Canis lupus familiaris: one gene and its partner. The protein of the gene in region 1 binds, or shares a complex with, the protein of each later gene. Links are inferred from orthologs where the notes say so. Each region holds a gene or a part of one and is shown on either strand. Other genes may lie near its edges.

Region 1 (11,028 bases):
CAAAATACACATTCTTCTGGAGTGCACATGGAACATTCTCCAGAATAGATCACATATTGGGTCACAAATCAGGTCTCAAATGATACAAAAAGACTGAAATTATACCATTCATATTTTCAGACCAGTGTTTTAAAACCTGAAGTCAACAACAAGAAAAACTTTGAAAGGACTACAAATATATGGAGTTTAAAGCGCATCCTACTAAAGAATGAATGGGTGAACCAGGAAATTAAAGAGGAATTTAAAATATACATGGAGGCAAATAAAAATGAAAACACAACAGTTCAGAACTTTTGGGATGCAGTACATAGCAATACAGGTCTTCCTCAAGAAACAAGAAAAGTCTCAAATACACAACCTAACCTTACACCTAAAAGAGCCAAAAAAGAACAGCAAATAAAGCCTACATCCAGTAGAAGAGAAATAATAAAAATTAGAGCAGAAATCAATGGTATAGGGGAAAAAAACAGTAGAACAGATCTATGAGAGGATCCCTGGGTGGCTCAGTAGTTTAGCACCTGCCTTCAGCCCAGAGCATGATCCTGGAGTCCCAGGATCGAGTCCTGCATCAGGCTCCCTGCATGGAGCCTGCTTCTCCCTCTGCTTGTGTCTTTGCCTCTCTATCCCTCCCTCTCGCTCTCTCTCTGTGTCTCTCATGAATAAATAAATAAAATCTTTAAAAAAAGAACAGATCCACAAAACTAGGAGCTGGTTCTTTAAAATAATTAGTAATATTGATAAACCTCTAGCCAAGTTTATCAAAAAGAAAAGAGAAAGGACCCTAATAAATAAAAACATAAATGAAAGAGGAGAGATCACAACCAACATCCCAGAAAGACAAACATAAGAGGATATTATGAGCAATTATACGCCAACAAGTCAGGCAATCTGGAAGAAATGGATGCATTTCTAAAAACATATAAACAGGGATCCCTGGGTGGCGCAGCGGTTTGGCGCCTGCCTTTGGCCCGGGGCGCGATCCTGGAGACCCGGGATCGAGTCCCACGTCGGGCTCCCGGTGCATGGAGCCTGCTTCTCCCTCTGCCTATGTCTCTGCCTCTCTCTCTCTCTCTCTGTGACTATCATAAATAAATGAAAAAAAAAATTTAAAAAAAAGACTAAAACATATAAACTACCTAAACTGAAACAGGAAGAAATAGAAAACCGAACAGATCCATAACCAGCAAAGAAATTGAAGCAGTAATCAAAACTCTCCCAACAAGCAAGAGTCCAGGGCTGAATGACCGCCCAGTAAAATTCTACCAAACATTTAAAGAAGAATTAGCACCTATTCTTCTGAAACTATTTCAAAATGTAGAAATGGAAGGAAAACTTCCAAACTCATTCTATGAGGCCATCATTGATCCCCAAGCCAGACAAAGATTCCACCAAAAAAGGAGAATTACAGACCAGTATCTCTGATGAACATGGATGCCAAAATTCTCACCAGGAAACTAGCCAATATGACCCAACAGTACATTAAAAGGATTATTCACCACGACCAACCACCCTACAAGGGTGCTTCAACATCCATAAATCAAACAATGTAATACATCACATTAACAAAAGAAAAGATAAAAACCGTATGATCCTCTCAACTGATACAGAAAAAGTATTTGAAAAAATACAGCATTCTTTCCTGATAAAAACTCTCCACCATGTAGAGATAGAGGGAATATACCTGAGCATCATAAGAGTATATGTGAAAGACCCATAGAAAATATCTTCCTCAACAGGGAAAAACAGAATTTTTCCCCTAAGGTGAGGAACACGACAGGGATGTCCACTCTCATCACTGTTGTTCAACACAGTACTGGAAGTCATAGCCTCAGCAATCAGACAACATAAAGAAATAAAAGGCATCCAAATCAGCAAAGAAGTCAAACTTCCACTCTTCACAGACAACATAATACTCTATGTAGAAAACCCAAAAGACTCCACCAAAAAGTGCTAGAACTGACACAGGAATTCAGTAAAGTCACAAGATGTAAAATCAATGCACAGCAGTCGTTTGCATTTCTGTAGACTAACAATGAGGTAGAAGAAAGAGAAATCAAGGAATCAATCCCCTTTACAATTCCACCAAAAACCGTAAGATACCTAGGAATAAACCTAACCTAAGAGGTAAAGAAAGGCTCTGTACTCTGAAAACTATAGAAAATTATGAAAGAAATTGAGGAAGGCACATAGAAATGGAAAAACATTCCATGCTCCTGAATTGGAAAAAGAAATATTGTTAAAATGTCTATGCAGGCAGCCCCGGTGGCCCAGCAGTTTAGCACCACCTTCAGCCCAGGGTGGGATCCTGGAAACCCAGGATCCAGTCCCATGTCAGGCTCCCTGCATGGAGCCTGCTTCTGCCTCTGCGCCCCCCCTCTCTGTGTGTGTCTCATGAATAAATAAATAAATATTTTTTAAAAAAATGTCTATGCTACCCAAAGCAATCTACGTCTTCAACACAATCCCTATCAAACTACCATCAGCATTTTTCATAGAGCTGGAACAAATGATCCTAAAATTTGTATGGAACCAAAAAAGATCCCAAATAGCAAAAGGAATGTTGAAAAAGAAACTGCAGCTGGAGACAATACAATCTGGACTTCAAGCTGTATTACAAAGCCGTAATCATCAAGACAGTAGGGTACTAGCACAAAAATAGACACATAGATCAATGGAACAGAAGAGAGAACTCAGAAATGAATCCTCGACTCTATGGTCAACTAATCTTTGACAAAACAGGAAAGAATATCCAATGGAAAAGAAGAGTCTCCTTGACAAATGGTGTTGAGAAAACTGGACAGCCACATGCAGAAGAATGAAACTAAGTCTTTTTCTTACACCATACACAAAGATAAACTCAAAAATAGATGAAAGACCTAAATGTGAAACACAAATCCATCAAAATCCTAGAGGAGAACACACAGCAACCTCTTTTGACCTTAGCCACAACTTCTTGCTAGAGACGTTTCCAAAGGCAAGAGAAACAAAAGCAAAGATAAACTATTGGGGCTTCATCAAAATGAAAAGCTTTTGCACACAGCAAAGGAAACAGCCAACAAAACTAAAAAGCAATCTACAGAATGGGAGAAGATATTTGCAAATGTCTAATCAGATAAAGGGCTAGTATCCAATATATATAAAGAACTTAACCAAGCTCAATACCAAAAAACAAAAACAAAAAATCTAGTCAAGAAACAGGCAGAAGACATGAATAGACACTTTTTAAAAGACACCCAGATGGCTAACAGGTACATTAAAAAAAAAATGCTCAACATCACTTGGCATTATGAAAAGAGCCCAGATGTCCACCAACAGATGAATGGATAAAGAAGGTAGTGTATTTAAATATATATGATGGAATATGACTCAGCTATCAAAAAGAATGAAATCTTGCCATTTGCAATGACATGGATGGAAGTAAAGGGTATTATGCTAAGCAAAATAAGTCAGTCAGAGAAAGACAAATACCATAAGATTTCACTCATATGTGGGATTTAAGAAACAAAACAGATGAATTCAGGGGAAGGAAAAATAAAATAAAATGAAAACAGAGAGAGGCAAAGCATATGAGACACTGAACTCTAGGAAACAAACTGAGGGTTGCTGAAGCAGAGGTAGGTGGGGCGAAGCGGTAATTATATGATGGGTATTAAGTAGGGCACTTGATGTCATGAGCACTGGGTGTTATATGTAACCAGGAATCACTAAATTCTGCCCCTGAAACTAATAATACAATATATGTTAACTAAATCGAATTTAAATAATTTTTTAAATTTTTTAACTTAAAAAAAGAAAAGAAATCCTAAAGTTTTCATCACAAGAAAAATAAATTTTGTAACATATGTGGTAATGAATATTGATTAGACTTATTGTGGTGATCATTTCACAATATATGCATACAGCAAATCATTATGGTGTATACCTGAAGTATCATTCATATATCCATTATATATCAAGAAAAAAACATAATTAATAGGGAAAAGGGACCACTGCTCCCCATCAAAGGAGTGCTCCCCAACAAGTCCCCATTGCAAATAAGAGCCCCCAAACCCTTACACCTCTTCTCCCACTTCCTCTCACCCAATCCCAATTTAATGAAGGACCACTTACTGAAGTGATGGCAGCACTGAAGCCTTCCTGAGACATCTCATGTTCAAAGGAGCTGCTACTTCCTGTCTGAGTACCTGTAAGGAGGAGAGCTTTCTACATTAAAGAAAGTGGAAGAGCTGGAACTCAAGTACTATGATGACCAAACAAAAGGAGGCTCAGGTGGGAGCTATGTTGAATTAGAAAGCATATACCTCTTTTAAAGAGTTGGTAGCTATTTGGCTCCAACTGCTTTTTGCCAGATAGGAATGCAGTCTAATCTTCCAATTTTTTAAGAGAAATCATAAATCCAGATTGTATATGAAACTCCCCTCAGTTTTTAAATTATTGTAATCAGTAAATATTCATTGAGCACCCACAATGTACCAGGCACTATTCTAGACACTGGAGATACAGCAGTGAATCCAACAGTCAAACATTGGCAACATACCCAAATTCTTGGAAATAAACTGTGTGAGGCCCGACTCCCCTACCCTCCAATTTTCCAGCCTATAGCCAAGGTTTGCAAAGTAAAAATAAAGTCTAGATCTTTTGATTTCAAAGGGAATGACCAAGTGAGACCAAATTTGCTGAGAACTAGAAGAGGAGAGAGTTGAGTTGATGCTGAGAATCAGGATACCAAGAGTTAGGAGGTTCTAGTCTCTAGAGGAGAAATCCATATTCAGGGCTGCCTCTGGACCTGCTGCAGGAATGCAGAACCTTAACTTACTTACCCTCAATTGCAAAGATCTTTTCCTGAAGCTGGTTTTGAATGGTCTTTAGAGCTTCAAAGTTATTCACCCGGAACACATGATCACGAGGAGGCTTGGATGCAATGATGTTAAGCTCTTCACGATTTTTTAGATGGTTGAAAGCATCTCCCACCTGTTACCAAAGAATAGAAGCCAAATTAGACACCATCAGGGGGTAGCAGTGTCACCCAGCAAAGAAAATTCTGCAGGAAAAGAATCTGAAACAATATTTGTCAAATGAGGGAATACACCAGAAGGCCTCTGGGATAGGGCACAGAGCAGTCTGTCAAGGGAGTAATTAGGAGCTGAAGTCCAGCCTTTGGTTCCTTTGCTGTGCCATGCCTCCTGATGTGGGTCTGACCTCTCCCCAGCGTAAAGGGAGCCTTTTCCTCTATATGAAGGGGTTTCCTACCTACCAAGTCATGCACCCATGATGATATCTTTTTCTATGTCATATAAGGTACTGTGGGAGTTGGATTACACTGATGATCCCAACTCTTTACCCCTTCCTAAATCCAAGCCCTTTCCTCCAAAACTTTGCTGTATCCTCTTACTCATGGCAGAGTAATCTGCCCTGCTTATGTCTCTGGGTGCAGCCATGTGTCTTGCTAATATCCATTGATTAGTAGATGTTATCATACACGATGCAGACAGAGGCTTTAAAAAGTACTTGCAACATTTCCATTTGCTCTTTTGTTCCTCTGCCTTCACCATGAAGACATGCCCAGGCTAGCCCATTGGAGGATGACACAGGGATCCGAAGAGCCAAGTTACCCCAGTTATTCCCGCCATTCCGGTCCAGCAAACAGACACAACTGGCAACCCTCAGAAATGGAGAGAGTTCAGCCAAGATTACCAGAGCTGCCAACCAACCTTCAAATGATTACAGATATAAGAGTGAGCCAGTCAAAACCAGAAAAATTGCCCAGATGTACTACAGACTCATTTATTGTTTTAAAGACTGAATTCTGAAATAATCTGTTACATAGCATCATTGTAACAGCAGTTGCCTGATATAGGCCCATATGGGCTGGCGGTGGCCCTTTGCCCACCCTGGTTTTAGGGATATTTGCAAAGTGAAGGGAGGGTGTATCCAAACAGAAACCCTCTACAGAAGCATCAGCCCAGAGAGCCACATTTCCTACCCCAATGACATAGCGAATGATCCCCTCTCTGTCTGCTTCAGGGATGACATCCTTGTAATCCAAGGGATCACCATACTTTTCTCCATCTGTAATGACAACTAGGATCTTAAGGGCATTCTCCCGGGCTCCACTGCTGCTGTGAAACAGTTCTCTTCTGTCCAGGGAAGAGGAAAGAAAAGTCAAATGTGAATAGACAGAGATCATCTTAATGCTAGGGAGGAAATGTCAAGAGTCACAGACTGATGCAGCCAGGAGGGGTTTGGGATCCCCTGGAATGAACACTGAGATGTGGCTACCACAAGACCCAGAAAGACACAGAAGAAGGGAGAAGAGTGGAAGGAAAGGAAATCTTCACTGCCTTTAAATACTTTTGCATTGATTTATTTTTCTTAACTATTATTCCTTTTAAATTAAAACAAATCTTTAAGCTTAATTGAACCCTTGCAAACCTTTCCTGGTTTGATGCTACAGCTCTCTAGCTCATGCTCCTGCACTTTTGTCCCAACCCTCACCCTCACCTCTACACACACACACACACACACACACACACACACACATCAGACTGAAGTTCCAAAAGAAGATATGGTAACATCTCCTCATTGCTTAAAACATTCAGTGAATCCCCACTAGCTTTTCAGTTGCCTTAAGTGACCTGGCCTCAAATGATCTCTGTAGCCTCCCTCTAGCCTCACCCTCACATATCCCCTTCACTCCTACCTTTACTTACAACTTATATTTCATGAGCACACCATGCAGAGTCCCTCCTCCACACCTTTATTCATGTCCTTTATCCCATCCCTGTCTGTGTTCCCTCTGCATTCTTCAAATCCCAACAAAAAAATATCACCTCCTCCCCATCCTAAACAAAGAGCTTACACTACTTTGCGGATTCCTGTGGCAGTGTGTGTCCTCCCCAACAGCTGTTTTATTGACTTCACCAGAAATGATGGCTTAGGATTTTTCTTGAACTCATTGAAGGTAAAATGAATTTGGAAGTCTTCAGAGAACTGCATCAAAGAAAACTGGGAACAGGCATCTGGTATTACACTGGAGAAGATGACCCTCCTCACATTTACCCATCTCCCAGGAGGCCCTAGATAAATATTGAAACATTCCAGTCTCCAAATCCCTCCAAATTCTACACTGTCCCCAATCTTTTTGCCTCACCAGGACAGAGATCTGCCATCAGCTCCCATTTCTAAGTACTAGAACTCAGCCAGAGATTAGATGTGGATTTTATCTCCCACTCCAACCCTTATCAATTAGTTAAAGCTGCCTGCTTCATAGAGCATTGGAAGAAGCTGAGGCTGATTCCAGAGCAGGAAAGAGAATCATGAAAGAAAACCATGATCAATTGGCAATTTGGCAACATCTGCGATAGAAGTAAAAGGGGAAAGTGGCAGCCTGCCTGGTTGCCCTGTATTTGCCAGCCTTGCATGAGCTATTTCCTAACCCATCCATTTGCCCTCACCAAGGTTTTGGAATTCTTGAATTGATCCATCACAGTTGAGACAAACTCCTTCATCCGCTGAAAGTCAGTCGGGTTGATGCTACCAGAGCCATCAATCAAGAAAGCAATATCACTGTCCTGCCGAGGACATTCTTTGGGAACAAAAGAAAGAACATGAACTAATTAAGCACCAGAGACAGGGGTTCATTTTTTGCATGTTAGCTCTTTGCTAAGCAGTAAAAATAAAAGGGAAATAATATGCAACCCATGTTCCAAGTTTAATAAAAATATGGACATAGTCCCAAGATGTCAGCTGCCATGCAGAAGACATTTGCAGAAAATGCCAATTTTACTTTTGAAGATCGACAAAAGATAAACAAATTTTCATGGAATACAAGTAGAATCACAGAGCTGAAGGAAGAAATAGTCGTAAAAAAGAAACAACTACAAAATTTAGAGATGCTTTTAAGGACATCATGCTTGCAGATAGATGACTACTGCTTAATGATACCTTATCAAATTGGTGATGTTTTCATTAGCCAGTCACAAGAATAAACACAAGAAATGTTAGAAGAAACAAAGAAAAATTTTCATGAAGAAACTGATGCCTTAGAATCCAAAGTGGAATCAATTCAGCAGGTGTTAGTATATTTAAAAGTTCAATTATATGCAAAATTTGGGAGCAAAATAAACCTTGAGTCTAAAGAAAGTTAAACATTTTATAATACTTTTTTAAATTTGTTTAATAAATTTGATTATTTAATACTATTTGAAATATGGATGAAGTAATAGAAAATTTTAGTTAATTCTGCCCAAGGAAGTCAGGAAAAGTAGAGATATCAGAATTAACTCTGAGAATGAGAAATAATTTGCCATAAATATAAAGGGAGAAAGAAATTATGGGAAAAAAAGGAATAGCACATATAACAATATACTGGATGTCCTCCTTCCTTCTGTCCCCAGCCCCAAATCCACCTTCTACCCTCCTCCAATCTGATCTGCAGCCTAGCAAGTCAGCCTACATGGATCACATGTATTTTGGGTTCCTTTGCCTTCTGGTTTCTACTTGGGTTTGCCCAATTAGGAGCCTTAACAGAAGATTAGAGACAGGTAGAAGAGTATGATCAGAGTATTTTCCTCTTACTCCTGCCCTGGAAGGTTGCTTTGGGCCAGCTGTGTCTCTCAATGGAAGATCACTGCTCCTCTCAAGGAAGCACACTCCAGAGAACTCTCTCTCTTTCTGAATTCTGGTTACTCTTCCCTCTCCTTGTCCAATCAGCCTAAGAATGGTAACAGCTCTGCTGCTCCTTGCCCTGGATTCCTGGATCATCCACTGTGGCTCCCTAAGACTCTATCAAATAAAATTAGTCCCTTTGTTAATAAATCCTTCTCAAATTATTCTAACTGGGGTGAAGCATTTATTCCAGTCAAAACCCTGACTGATACAAAGGAGATGAACCTAAAATCCTTCCACAGAATTGAGGGACAGAAATGACACTACTAGGATAAATCTGTGTGATGGGAATGGAGATGAGCCTATGTCATTAAGCAAAGGACAGTTGGGAAGGACCTCTCTATCCCAAAAAAGAAGTTTGACTTTATCCCTTAGGCAGTGAATAGCCACTGAAGTTTTCTTAGAAAAGGAAGTGAGATGATTGTTTTCTGTATTTAGAAAGATTGCTGTAGCAATGAAAAGTTTCTAGCCACTCCATTCATGATTGCCAAACATTGGAAACAACCCAAACATCCTTCAATGTGTGATCAGATGAACTTGTGACTGGGACTAGTAAATCTATGCAATGGAATACTATTTAGCAATAAAAAAGGAAAGAACTACTGATATACATAACAACACAGATGAATTGCAAATACCTCATACTAGTGAAAGAAGCCAATCTCAAAGGGTTGTAATTCCATTTATGTAGCTTCTTGAAAGGACAAACTATATTGTGATGAAGAACAGATTAGTAAGTGCCAGGGACTAGGATGGATGGGGAGAAGGCAACTAACTATAAAAAGATAGCATAAAGGACTTTTTAGGGGAGTAATAGAACTATTGCATTCTGTTCATGTTGGATTTTTTATAAGGTTTTATTTTTAAGTAATCTCTACAACCAATGTGGGGCTGGGACTCACAATCTGAAGATCAAGAGTCACATGCTCTTCCAACTGAGCCAGCCAGGCACCCCATGTTCATGTTGGTTTTTTTAATGAAAATCTATATACATATCTTAAAATTCATGGAATTGTACACTAAACGAATAAAGGCCAATTTTATTGTATGATCTTTGAAAAAGTAAAATTACCCCCCCAAAAAAGTATTAGTTTTTTAAAAACAGATAAGCAGACTCTAACATTTATATGGAAAATATACAAAGAAAATTAACCAGAGAAATCTTTGAAAATCTCAAAGATAGGTTAAATGAAAAGAATCAAATGTGTACAACACGCTATCATTTGTGGCACAAAGTGAAGACTATAAATATGTATATATTTGTGAATATAAGAACGGAAAATGTTTTTTAAAAGAAAAGTATTGAATGCTGAGAGTGAACACTAAAGAGGGGCTAAGAGCTGAAGCCACAGAACTGAATGCAATTGGCCTGGAAGAACACTTGGACAAGAATAGAAGCCGTAACCTAGTACCCCTACACATGCAAGGAAGGCAGAGGGAGACTGCCTGGAGATGAAGTTTACCAGAAGCCCTTGGCAGCAGGAGAAGCAAGAAGAAGGGAAGGGAAGGGAGAGGAAGGAAATAAGGGGGGAAGGGAGGGGAAGAGAGAGGAGGGGAGAAATCTAGGTGTTTGGAGAAGGAAGAGATGATCTGTAAGTCACATCAGAAAAGTCAGTAAACATGAGGACAGAACAGAGATTTGGCATTTAGGAAGTCACAAATGCCATTTGCAAGAGGTTGGAGAGAAGACACATGTCAGAGGGTGAAGAATGGTAATATGGGGGAAATGGAAACAAGAAGAGAGAACTCTTTTGAAAAGTTTGATGATGAAGGAAAGGAGAAACAGCATAAGATGTAGAGGAGACCAGGGAGAGGAAAGGTTATTTTCATTGCTATCAATATTGGTGGTTGATTGCTTTTAAGATATGGGTAAGTGTAAGCATGTTTACATGCAAAGGAGGAAGGAGAAATTTAAGCTCCTGGAGAGAATGAATGATTGAGGATGTGGGCTTCAGGTTGGTGATGTGATAAAGCCTCAAAAGTCCAGATAGAAGAGTGATTCATGGAAAGGTGGACACTCAGGTCTTCCTCTAAAACCAGTGAGACACTGCCAAGGGTGGTACTGTTGCAAAAATTTGAACAAGGAGGAGTAAGTAGATGGAGTTCATCCCTGGCAACCTTGATTTTCTTTATGAAGAAGGAAGGAATGTTATCCATTGAGAGTAAAGTACAAAGGGGCAGAGCTTGAAGGGGAAAAAAACCTATAAATGGAAGACATATCAGCCCTTGGTTCTAGAACCAACTTGAAGCCAAGCAAAAAAGATGGACAACCAGTTGAAGAAATAAATGGTAGAAAGCAGCTTGAGAAAAGATTCAGTCACTCGCTCACTCACTCTCTTTCAATCGACAGATGTTTGGTGA
Region 2 (11,128 bases), on another chromosome or scaffold:
TAATTCATAAAATTTATAAGCATTGCTGGTTGCTCCCCAGATCTGTTCCTCTTCCTTTTGCTGGTGCAGTCTGTGTGGCCACGTGACTAGGCGGCTGGATCCATTCTCTACTGGGGTTTGGGCCTAATTACTTTTCTTTAAAAATTTTTTTATTTAAACTTAATTTAGTTGACATATAGCGCATTATTAGTTTCAGGGGGTAGAATTTAGTGATTCATCAGTTGCACATGACACCCAGTGCTCATTCCATCACATGCCCTCCTTAATGTCCCCTCTCACCCAGTTATACCATTCCTGCCCCCCTCCCCCACCCTCCTGCCTTATTTTCTTTAAATCAAATATGCCTGAAGCTCTTCACAACCACACTGAAAACCCTTAGCTCATGGATTGAAGATGCAGATTCAAAAGATGAAAACACCTGGGTCCTTGAAGACTTCAAAACACTGACTTTACCAACCAGTCTTTGTTTTTTTTTTTTTTTTTTTTTTTACCAACCAGTCTTATTGAGATAAAATCCCAAAATATGTAAGCCATTTTAGTTGAGTTTTCTGTGTGTGTGTTTTTTTCTAATCAAGTAGCATGGGCATTATCAAAAATATTGATACAGAAGTTTTGTAATTTCATTACAGTTAACCAAAAAATAAAGTTTTATTACCTTTGGAATATTTCAGAGAGAGAAAGAGAAGTATATTACCGGGACTCCCATCAAACTGCATGAGCCTGATGGATCGTTCTTTTTCTCCATTCTAGGGAGATTGCAGCACTCGGAATGGTAATCAAGAACCTAAACACCCTGCCAAGTAGGTAATCCGAGAGACACCTGACAAATTTTTCATCCAGTTCCTTCACATTTTTTTGCTCCATGCTGATCACACTTCCTGTATTTGTCACTGCAAAATCAGTGGCCTCATTTTCAGATCACCCTTAGGACATGTTATAATTTCTATGGTTTCAGATCGTCTTACATTGGTTATATTTTAGCCTGGTAGCTCTCATGCAGAGGCTGGCCAGTAGCAGGGAGGGTGAGCATCAGCAAGCCAGAGCAAACACGGGGGGGGGGGGGGGGGGGGGGGCGATGTCTGGGTGCAGAGAAAGTGTGAATGGGTGTTTGCAGTTAGTTATTTTTCCCAAGACACAGGGTGAAGAAGTTTGGATAGTGGATTACTACAGTAGCATCCTATCTGGGACCTCTGCTTCCATCCTTGACCACCCGTGGTCTATTCAACACAGAGAGGCCATAGTAAATCAGTCAGAATTTGTCACTCTTAATGGCTTCCCACCTCATTTAGAGCAAAAGTAGAATTCCTAACATTAGACAAAGGCCATGCATGATCTGGCCCATTACTTGCCTAGCCTAGATGCCTATCTCCGCTCACTGAGTTCCCGCCACAGTGGCTTCCTTCCGGTCCTCTAACACCTGGGGCAAGATCAGACCTCAGGCCCTTTGCACTGACTGACTCCTTTACCTGGTGAGTATCTTCCAAAATATTTACTTGGCCAACTCCCTCAATTCTGCAATGTTTTCACTCAAATTTCACCCAGGGAGATTTTCCTCCCCTGAATTGGTGACTTTATCTTCCTTCATTGTCTTTATTTTATTTATTTATTTTTACCCATGGCAATCCTCACATCTTTTTAAAATTTAATTAATTGGTTAATTAAGTTTATTTATGTAATAAAAAATTTAAGCTGTAGCGCAGTAGGAATTTTCATCTGTTTTTGTTCATGGCTCTATTCACTCAAAAACTTGAGTCTTCAAAGAATGTCAGCTAAATGAACAGAATGAATTGAAATCTTGAATCAGCACGCCTGTGATGAGGCAGCAGAATGAAGGTTGGATTTGGAGGTGAACACTTTGGAGTACAGTTCAAAATATCTTCTACTTGAATTTTAGTGTAAATGCTGGGGTGAAGTAAATTATGAATAGTCTCAACCTCAGAGATTGCCATTCCTTAAGAAAACCTCCTTAATTATCATATGTATGTATTAAAGATTTTGTTTATTTATTTGACAGACAGAGAGAGAGAGAGAGCACAAGCAGGGGGAGCAGCAGCAGAAGAGGGTGAAGCAGGCTCTCAGCTGAGCAGGAAGCCTGATGGGGGGCTCATTCCCAGGACCCTGGGATCATGACCTGGGCCTAAGGCAGATCCCTAACCAACTAAGTCACCCAGGCACTCCTTCCATTATATTTAAAAATACAATAGTTAATAATATAGGGTTTCATAATCACAGCACTATTAACATTTTGGGACAAATAATTTTTTTTGTTGTGGGGGCTGTTCTGTGCATCATAGGATGATTAGCAGCATCTTCGGCCTCTACTTAGCAGGTGCCAGTGGCAAACGCCTCCCGAAGCTGTGACAACCAAAAATGTCTTAGACGTTGTCGAATGTCACCTGGAGGGTGACACTGCTCCTGGTTGAGGACCACTGATATAAATAATGCTCACATATTCCTACTTGGATAAAGTATATTTTTGATATGATACATGCAATGGAGTGGAAATCATGGGGATCTCATGCTTATGTCATCAACCCTGTCGATAAGCATCGTAATAACTGGTAGCAACATGTGACACTTGTAAATGTTAAGATAAAATTTAGGAAGAAATAGAAAATGGGTAACTCCTTGTTAAAAGGCCTAGCAACTATGCTTCAGGAGTAACGGTGACTGTTGAGAAGTCTCAGGAAAGAGCCTTGGCAAAATAAAAATAATAAAGAACAATGTGCATTCCTCTGCAGCTTAATGGGTAAAATCACACTAAAGCAAACATAGCTTCATCACTGGGAAAATGGAATCACAAGAGGGAAAGAGGCAACATGAAGTCTGTGTGTGGAGGGGAGACAGCTCCTTGTTCCTTTATTTCTGCTTTAGGATGGTATGTGGCAGGTGGATGAAGAGTTTGGGTACAGAGATAGACTGGAGTTTCCTAAGGGAATTTCGGATGCCTCCTCTTTTGGAAAAAAAAAAAAAAAGGTTGCTTGATTGATTAAAAGGTCTACTTGTAGAGACACCTCTTTGTCCCTGGCTGGCACTTTCATGGGACATTTGTCCAGGTAGCACTCAATATACAAGCCCAGAGTTCTCAGAACTACCTGCCACAAAACAATGCTTCTAATTGGTGGTGGTGGTGGGGGGGGGGGTGGTGGAGGTTGGGGTAGGGTTCTAAGCAGATGTAAATTTTAAGAGTTATATAAGGCACATAATAGATATTTATCAAACTGAAGAGAAGGAACGTAACCTTAGGAAGTGGAAATGGAAGTATATTTTGCGACCATTTGTGGATGCCATGGAATGAGAAACTGAAAAGTAAAAAGAGGAAGACTCGAGGCCGGCAAGAACTCTGATGAGGAGCAGAAAAAAAAAATCTCAGAATGTGCTTTTTGATATGTTTGGGGAAAGTCGTCTTATACGTCACTATTATTTTATGCAATACTTTTATGTCCTTGGTGTCATAGATATCCATCCATATGTCATCCAAACACCCCTCCATGTGTTGACTGCCTTAGCATCGGTTCTCAATGAAACATAATGGGAATCCCGAACGCCACGCCGCCCAGCCTCAGTTGTACCAAGGACCAGAGTTGGAGCCACACTGATTAAGCCTCTCAACTCTTGGGTGTCAAAGAAGGCATGTCACTAAAGGTCACTAAAGGCAAAAAAAAAAAAAAAAAAAAAAAAAAAAAAAAAAGTGTAAAGAGCTCCCTAAAGCGAAATGGCATTTAATTGGTAACCTTCAGACATCTGTCACTCTTGGTGACCAGCGCCAGGGAGGACTTCGCACACTTGCGATGGCGCAGGTGGGACGCGGCTGACAGCTGATGTCCGTGGAGCAGGGTGCAGGGGCAGGGGCGGGTGCTCGCGCGCGCGGGGTGGGGAGAGGGGAGGAGACGCTGCCTTGGAAGACGGGGTTTTTTCATCTCAAATATAGCTTAAAAAAAAAAAATAAGTCTGGGGCTCCAAGTGTCTCCTAAATTGCTATCAGCTGTGCATTTGGGCGCTCCTGCCTCTCAAGCCGTGGGGTGCGCGCACCTAGAGCAGCACGGCTCGGGCATAAAGTTTGCAAAGGGAACGCGGTGTGCGTCCCCGCCCCACGGGGAGCGGTGGTTGGTCCGGGGGCCCCGGCGGCTCGGGGCTGGAACGAGCTTCCCAATCAGCTCGCGAGCCCCGGGCGCGCTCCCTCCCTCGGCCTCCGCGTCCGCGCCCTGCCCGCCGCGCCCCCTCCCTTTCCCCAGTCGCCTTCCGCTCCCTCCCGGCGGCGCGCAGCGGAGGCCGAGGCGGCTCGGGGTCCCCGCCTGGCCGTCCCCCCAGCCCCGCAGGGAGCCGCCGAGCGCAGCAGCGGCCGAGCGGGCGCGGCCCCCGGCAGCCCACCGAGCGCCCGGCCTCGCCCCGCGCAACCCAGGCGGCCCGAGCGCGCGACGCCGAGTAAGTGGCCGGCGGCGGAGTGGGCGACCCGGGCGGGGGCGGGGGCGGGGGTGCCTCCGAAGCTCCTGCGCCCCGGGGCCGGCGGAGGCATCAGCCGGGCGTGGGGTGCAGGGTGGCGGTCGGGGGGGGTCAGGGTGCCGGGAGGCGGTGGGTGGGGGCGGCTTTTGTCCCGGCCCGCGAGCATCTACACCTTGCGCTGCCCGGGGCGGAGGGGTGTCTGGGGCTGCGCGGGGTGGGGGGCGCCCCGGGGCCGGCGGAGGCATCAGCCGGGCGTGGGGTGCAGGGTGGCGGTCCGGAGGGGTCAGGGTGCCCGGAGGCGGTGGGTGGGGGCGGCTTTTGTCCTGGCCCGCGAGCATCTACACCTTGCGTTGCCCCGGGCGGAGGGGTGTCTGGGGCTGCGCGGGGTGGGGGGCGCCCTGGGGCCGGCGGAGGCATCAGCCAGGCGTGGGGTGCAGGGTGGTGGTGCGGAGGGGGGGGGCTCAGGGTGCCGGGAAGCGGTAGGTGGGGGCGGCTTTTGTCCCGGCCCGCGAGCATCTACACCTTGCGCTGCCCGGGGCGGAGGGGTGTCTGGGGCTGCGCGGGGTGGGGGGCGCCCCGGGGCCGGCGGAGGCATCGCGGGGCGTGGGGTGCAGGGTGGCGGTCCGGGGGGGTCAGGGTGCCGGGAGGCGGTGGGTGGGGGCGGCTTTTGTTCCGGCCCGCGAGCATCTGCACCTTGCGCTGCCCGGGGCGGAGGGGCGTCTGGGGCTGCGCGGGGTGGGGGGCGCCCCGGGGGCAGCCCCCCGTCCTCTCTCCTGGGCTTGCGGGCTGCGCCCACCGCGCTGGCCCTTGTGGGTGCGGGCCGGGGGCCAGGGGGGATGTAGGGGTCGACGTGGAGAAGCGCTCCCCGGGCTGCCCGCCGGCCCCGGAACGGCTCTGCAGGCAGGTGGCCGCAACCGAAGTTTAAAAGGCGCACCTTAAGCCCGTCTGCGCTTCGAACGCCGACTTTGAGGGCCGCCCGCGCTCGAACTTCGGGGCTCCCGCGCCTGAAGGTAGGGGGTGGAATGTTCACCGCTAATTTGCCGGATGCCCAGTCGGAGTTGAGGTTTTTCATAGGTTGACCTTTTTTCTTTTTCTTTCTTTCTTTTCTTTTTTTTTTTTAAAGCACGGAATGCATTCGACTGCTTCCCTACTTGTCCTACAAAATAGAACGCTTCCTCTTGGAGGACGCACATCATGCCCCTTAACACACACACACACACACACACACACACACACACACCTGGTTTCTGCGCGGTGAGCCCCCGTGACCTAGGCCAACCGCGGCCGCCCCGCCAGTGCGTGGGGATGCCCTGGAAAACTAGAGGCTGCGGTGGCTCCGGGGAGAGGAGGAGCGGACCGTGGGGGCGGCGGGGACGTTCCCCTCTTCCCCTTTCACCTCGATAGCTCGTTGCTTGAGCAGCTTGAGGCAGGTGGTGTGTGCGTGTGCGTGTGTGCGCGCGCGTGTGCCTGTGCGTGTTGGAGCGGCGGACCTGGGAGGAGACCGAGGGCCGGCCAAGAAGAGCTTTGGGATCCCCCGCCCCAAACCCCTCATGAAGCAATTTCAGGATCCCAGGCCAACGTCAAGTTGGTGAAACAGGAAAGCCCACTTGGCCCCCTGGGTCACTGGGGATGATGGATACGTGGAGATCCTCCCGGGTAGTGGTAGTGAAACAAAAGAAGTGTCTCCCAGCCCAGAAGACCAAGCATGGATTTTCCATCTTCATTAGGTGCCTTTTTAAATAAATTATTCACCTTAGGGGCCAAATCGTTAAAAAAAAATCACTTTACATTACTTACAAAGTCCAGTTACATTCAGAGGAAATTAGAGTGGGTGTTAGCTCCTTTCCCCTTTTGAGATGTGAGATACGTTAGATGTTAGATCGGTGATACTTCCTCATTGAAACCAGAGGATGAGACTTTTTAAAATTTTATTCAAAAACAAAAACAAAAACAAAACAAACAAAAAACCCAAACACCCTATGGCTATTATTCTGTGCTTTAAGAAACTTGTGCTGTGAGTTCTCCAACTGTGCTTTACATCTTCCGAAGGTGATCTTTTCTCCCCCTGGGAATCTTTTCTTCACCCAGGTGGTGAGGGGGGCAAGGAGGAGGGAGGGAGGAGGGCCCCCTTCCTTTAGGACAGTTTTCTTCCCATGAGTGAAACCAGTGAGGGATGCCCACCTGAAGCCTTACAGTAGGCTTACAGTGGGTGCTCTATTTCAGCTGGTCACTTGTGGATACAACTGCATTGTATTTTTTTCTTTTTTTTTTCTTTTTTTTTTTTTAAGATTTATTTATTAGAGCAAGGGTCAGAGGGAGGGGAGAGAGAGAGTCATAAGCAGATTCTGCGCTGAGCATGGAGTACTGTGCAGGGCTTGTTCCCAGGATCCTGAGATCAGGACCCGAACTGAAACCAAGTGGGGTTGCTTAACCAGTGGTGCCACACAGGTGCCCCGCGTTGTATTTACACAAGCCAGAGCTGTGCTAATGCCCAGTTAATGTCCCATTAGTAGATAACTTGTATTACCTGATGTTTAAATGAGGTATTACAGGAGATGAGAAAAATTTAATAGTATATAGAGTAACATATGTACATATTATATAATAATACATAGTTCTGTGGTTTCCTATATTTGTTGTAATAAATTTGCAAATTTATTGAGAGCTTCAATGCACCTTATTTGGTCTTTACATATAGCAATATGTAGCAGGATGCACATTTTTTTTAGGCATTTTTCTTTGTAACTATTAAAATCAGTGGCCTTGTTTGAATATCCATGAAACTTGATCATTGGAAATATCCTGAAAGAAATAAGGTCCCCAAATAGTTTAATTGCTTTTATCAATAAAATCAATCTTAGAAATGAACTGTTTTAGCTATAAATGCTTTTTTCCCCCCTTTGAAGATACTCTTGTTTTCTCATTTAAGTGATCTCTCCCCATGGATTCTGATCCCGTTTTCTGATCTGTGGGGTTTTTTTTTTTTTTTTAATCACTCTTCAAAATTTTCTCAGGAGACTGAGTTTAGTTGGCTTACTCAAAATGTGGTTACCTAATGGCTAATGTAGGCCCAGAAGTTGGAACACACCTTAAAGTTCTCCACTATGGTTTTTTTTTTTTAAGATTTTTTTTTTTATTATTCATAAGAGACACAGGGAGAGATGCAGAGATGCAGGCAGAAGGAGAAGCAGGCTCCCTGCGGGGAGCCCCATGTGGGACTGGATCCCAGAACCCCCCAGGTCACGACCTGAGCCAAAGGCAGATGCCCAATCTCTGAGCCACCCAGGTGTCCCTCCATTTATGCTTTTAGTATGGTGGCATAGGGATATGGAGAGTTGTCCTTACTTCTCTCCTGAAGGTACTGTTCACATTGAGAGTGCCCAGGGTGACCAGAGCGCAAGCATGGTCTACACCTGAGTGCGCTGAAGTCTAGTGTAAGGAGCCCCGGGGGAGTCAGGGCTCTCCAACTGTGCTGTTCACTGCTTGGATGCTGAATGGGACTTCTTCAAAAGGTTAAGGCTGCCATTCTAATGAATAATCAGAAGAACTTTTGTCTCTTCTTGGCACGATGCCATGCCATCGCTCTGTGGTAAAGTAATATTCAGATATGGATCTTCTCTTTATGAGCTGGGTCGGCTCTTTTCCGTCCAGAGCCAACTGGCCTGAGTGGGATTTGGGCCACAGCCTGCCTTTGGAAAGCTGTTCTTCATTACTGATGTTTAAGGCCAATTCCACTTTCCATCCATCGAGCCATTTTTCCATGCACTTCTTGCCAGTCTTGTATGTGGCAGGGTTCTCAGTGTCATACAATCTTTCTTAGGTTGTCAAATATAACAGGGCTTTTGTTCCGCCCTGGTTTAGTATTTGGTTAAAAAAAAAGTTAAAATGTCTGCGGTGTAAAAGAGTAGCTATAATGGAACATTTTCAGAGGGCATTATATTTATGTTAACATTGTGGATTTGATTATGTAGATCACATTCACCGCAAATCCCTAGTTCTTAAGGGTAGGCAAGGAAGACAGTGAATAGTTGATGCTTGAGGTAGTTTGAGAAATAAAATTTAATTTCTTCTACTGGGATTTGTTTTTTAGCCATTTCTTCACAGTGGATTTAGGTAAAGTGACATTTATTTATTTTTCTTTTTTCTTTTCTTTTTTCTTTTTTTTTGGGGGGGGGGTAAAGTGACATTTAAAAAAAAATCACCATCATGTATTTTCTAACAACAGAATTCTTAGAGTCCTAAACATCATCCTTAGGAAAAAAAAAGTCAATTGTTGTATATGAATCTTGAAAGAGGTGAGTGATAGTAACTGACACCGCGCTCTTAATTCTAAGAACTGTGCTTAGTACAACCCAAAATGTCACTTAAAAAATGGCCTGCTGTATTCTTAACCCTTTGTTTCCACTTCTTCCAACTGTAACACTTCCCTGTCCCCTTCCTCTGGCTCTCATTGCTCCCTTCCATTCATCCAGTGCCATCATTTCCCATTTAACAAATCCCATGATGTCTTGCCCAATTCCTTTGCCATATCTGTGACGGTGAATACACGTTCCTGTAACTGTGTATCTGGAAGCGTTGCCCATATGTGAGATGCATGGAAGGCTGGGCCTTTGTAGCTGAAAATTTCACATATTTCTGATCCGGTTCACTCAAATCTGTTTTTCAGGCCAATGTGCACTCTATCGACTACCCTGGGTTATTTCCCTTTTGACTAAGAAAGACCCTAGTTAGGATCATTTCATGCTTTTGTCACTAGGAGAGGCTTGGCTTCATTGTTTCTTTAGCGAAGCCTGGATTACTCACTTCCATCTTCCCAGGTCCTGCCTTAACAATGCAAATGTTTCTTGCTCCTTTGGCAAGTCAATTTAACCATAATAAATAATTTTTATTATATATGCTAGATGCCTAATGTAATATACTCAAGAAATACAACACATAGTTTCTTTTCTCCAAGGCTTACAGTTTTACAGTTCCATTTGTATATGGAAATGGTGCTAACTTGTGAAATCCTTTATTACAAATTCATTTAAAAGAGATGTCAATGAAAATCCATTTATACTCCCTTCCTATCTCTGGAAAAAAACACATTTTAAGTCACAGGTCATGTCATCAAACAAACGGCTTCCTTTTCCTTAGCATGCAGCAACCTTGCTTGCCAACACTGCCTTCTTCCGATTATCTGGTTATATTTTACTGTAACCTCCTTGACATATTAATTTTTTTCCAACTTCCTTGGACACTTCTCAGTATTTTTTTTTTGCATCTTTTCCCTTCAACTTCCAAATGTGGATATTTATTTCCAAATATTCAAGTCTCACCCCCTACTTTTCCACTCCCCCCCACCCAGATGCTTCAGTATTAATCTTGACTTTGAGTTTCTACTTCAATTTTCATGAGAGAACTTGCAAATCTCTCCATTCTCTATTGAGTTTTGGTGTCACATTCTTAATTTTTTTTTTAATGAATACTTAAGGGGAGCACAATCCTAGTTGGGGAAGGAGATTGAAATAAAAGACTTTTTGTTACTTTGTTCTTAACCCTAACAGACTTCTGCACATATTGACTACCCCATTATATATCAGGTAGTGTGATAGGGGTTACAAAAATAGGCCTTCACATAGCTTTTGGGCTACTCGGTGTTTGTGTGAATACCATTAAAATTACTACAAGTTAGAGTAAGATGTGTACATACAAAGTGATTGTATGAGTAAGATGTGTACATACAAAGTACATACAAAGCGACAAAGTGATTTAAAAATTTTTTTTATGAGAAAAGGAGTTTAACTCAAAAGGCTAAATGGAGAAGGTGATAATATGTATTTCAAACTTATCACTGTGTTTTGGTTACTCTAGTGCCATTTATCTGGAAGAGAAATTGAACTCTTGATTCCTTCGTGCCTTCATTTCACATCAGCCATGCAATACAGCAGACAGGAAGTGACTGCAAGTGACATCTTAGAATTTACTCGGAGTTATTTAGAGTAAATATAATTTGAAAGATTTGACACATCGCCGTAGAAAATTTCAGGAAAATTTATAGTGGGAGTGAGATGACTGCCCTTCAGGGGAAATCTATGCATGGAGGAGAAGAAAGCAAATCCTCTAATGTCCTCTGTGGAATTTGTAGGAAACTGTAAGGGAGTGGGAGGCACCCAAGGAGGGTTTCCCAGGCAAATCTGCCCTCTAGGTGGAGCTCTCATTCTGCCCTGCTCTTTTCTCCACCTCTACATCAACCCTTCCAAGTGACCTTTAACTCTTGCTTTCTGTAGCAGGGTTGACCCTGGAAGAGCTCATCTTTTCCCAATCATAATTACTCACCATTGTCACGAGCTCAACCCCCCCACACCGTGTACCCTTAAAGGCAGGGACTCCCTCCTTCATCTCAAGGACCCTAGAATATCTGGCACCAGATCATTGAAAATGACCAATAATGTCTGGCAAATAAGTAAAAGAGAAATGACTTTGAAAACCATTTTTTCTGCCTCTCATGCTCCAAAGACCTTGATGGTCTGTCCTCTATACATGATCCCTCTAAACATCACCTGGTGCCAATTTCCTATTTAAATCTGAGCGCCCCCATTCGTAGCTTCCAACCTCTATAAGAAGCCTCTCCATCTCTCGTTCCAGAGGCCACCTAAGCCTGCCAGTTCTCTGGAGTATCTTCTAATCATAGACTCCCTCATCC

Evidence for each region.
Region 2: the proteins of ITGAM (region 1) and PTN are in contact, whole or in part, in an NMR structure (PDB 8VOH), measured with the Homo sapiens proteins. The link is inferred for Canis lupus familiaris from reciprocal best matches to the Homo sapiens genes ITGAM and PTN. Residues at the interface, in NP_000623.2 of Homo sapiens: Pro273, Asp276, Arg277, Gly279, Val280, Ile281, Arg282, Tyr283, Lys306, Pro307, Arg309, Asp310, His311, Ala334, Ile335, Glu336, Gly337, Thr338, Gln339; in NP_001308315.1 of Homo sapiens: Val56, Pro57, Thr58, Ser59, Asp61, Cys62, Gly63, Leu64, Thr66, Glu68, Thr79, Lys81, Thr82, Gln83, Arg84.

Annotation. Positions count from the first base shown.
Region 1 is NC_049227.1:17,129,992-17,141,019, forward strand, and holds part of ITGAM (integrin alpha-M), read right to left. Parts: intron 8,410-11,028; exon of another isoform or gene 7,716-8,409; intron 7,586-7,715; coding exon 7,455-7,585; intron 7,006-7,454; coding exon 6,860-7,005; intron 6,138-6,859; coding exon 5,984-6,137; intron 4,972-5,983; coding exon 4,821-4,971; intron 4,185-4,820; coding exon 4,111-4,184; intron 1-4,110.
Region 2 is NC_049237.1:10,946,395-10,957,522, forward strand, and holds the start of PTN (pleiotrophin), read left to right. Parts: upstream 1-4,248; 5' UTR 4,249-4,425; intron 4,426-5,378; exon of another isoform or gene 5,379-5,453; intron 5,454-11,128.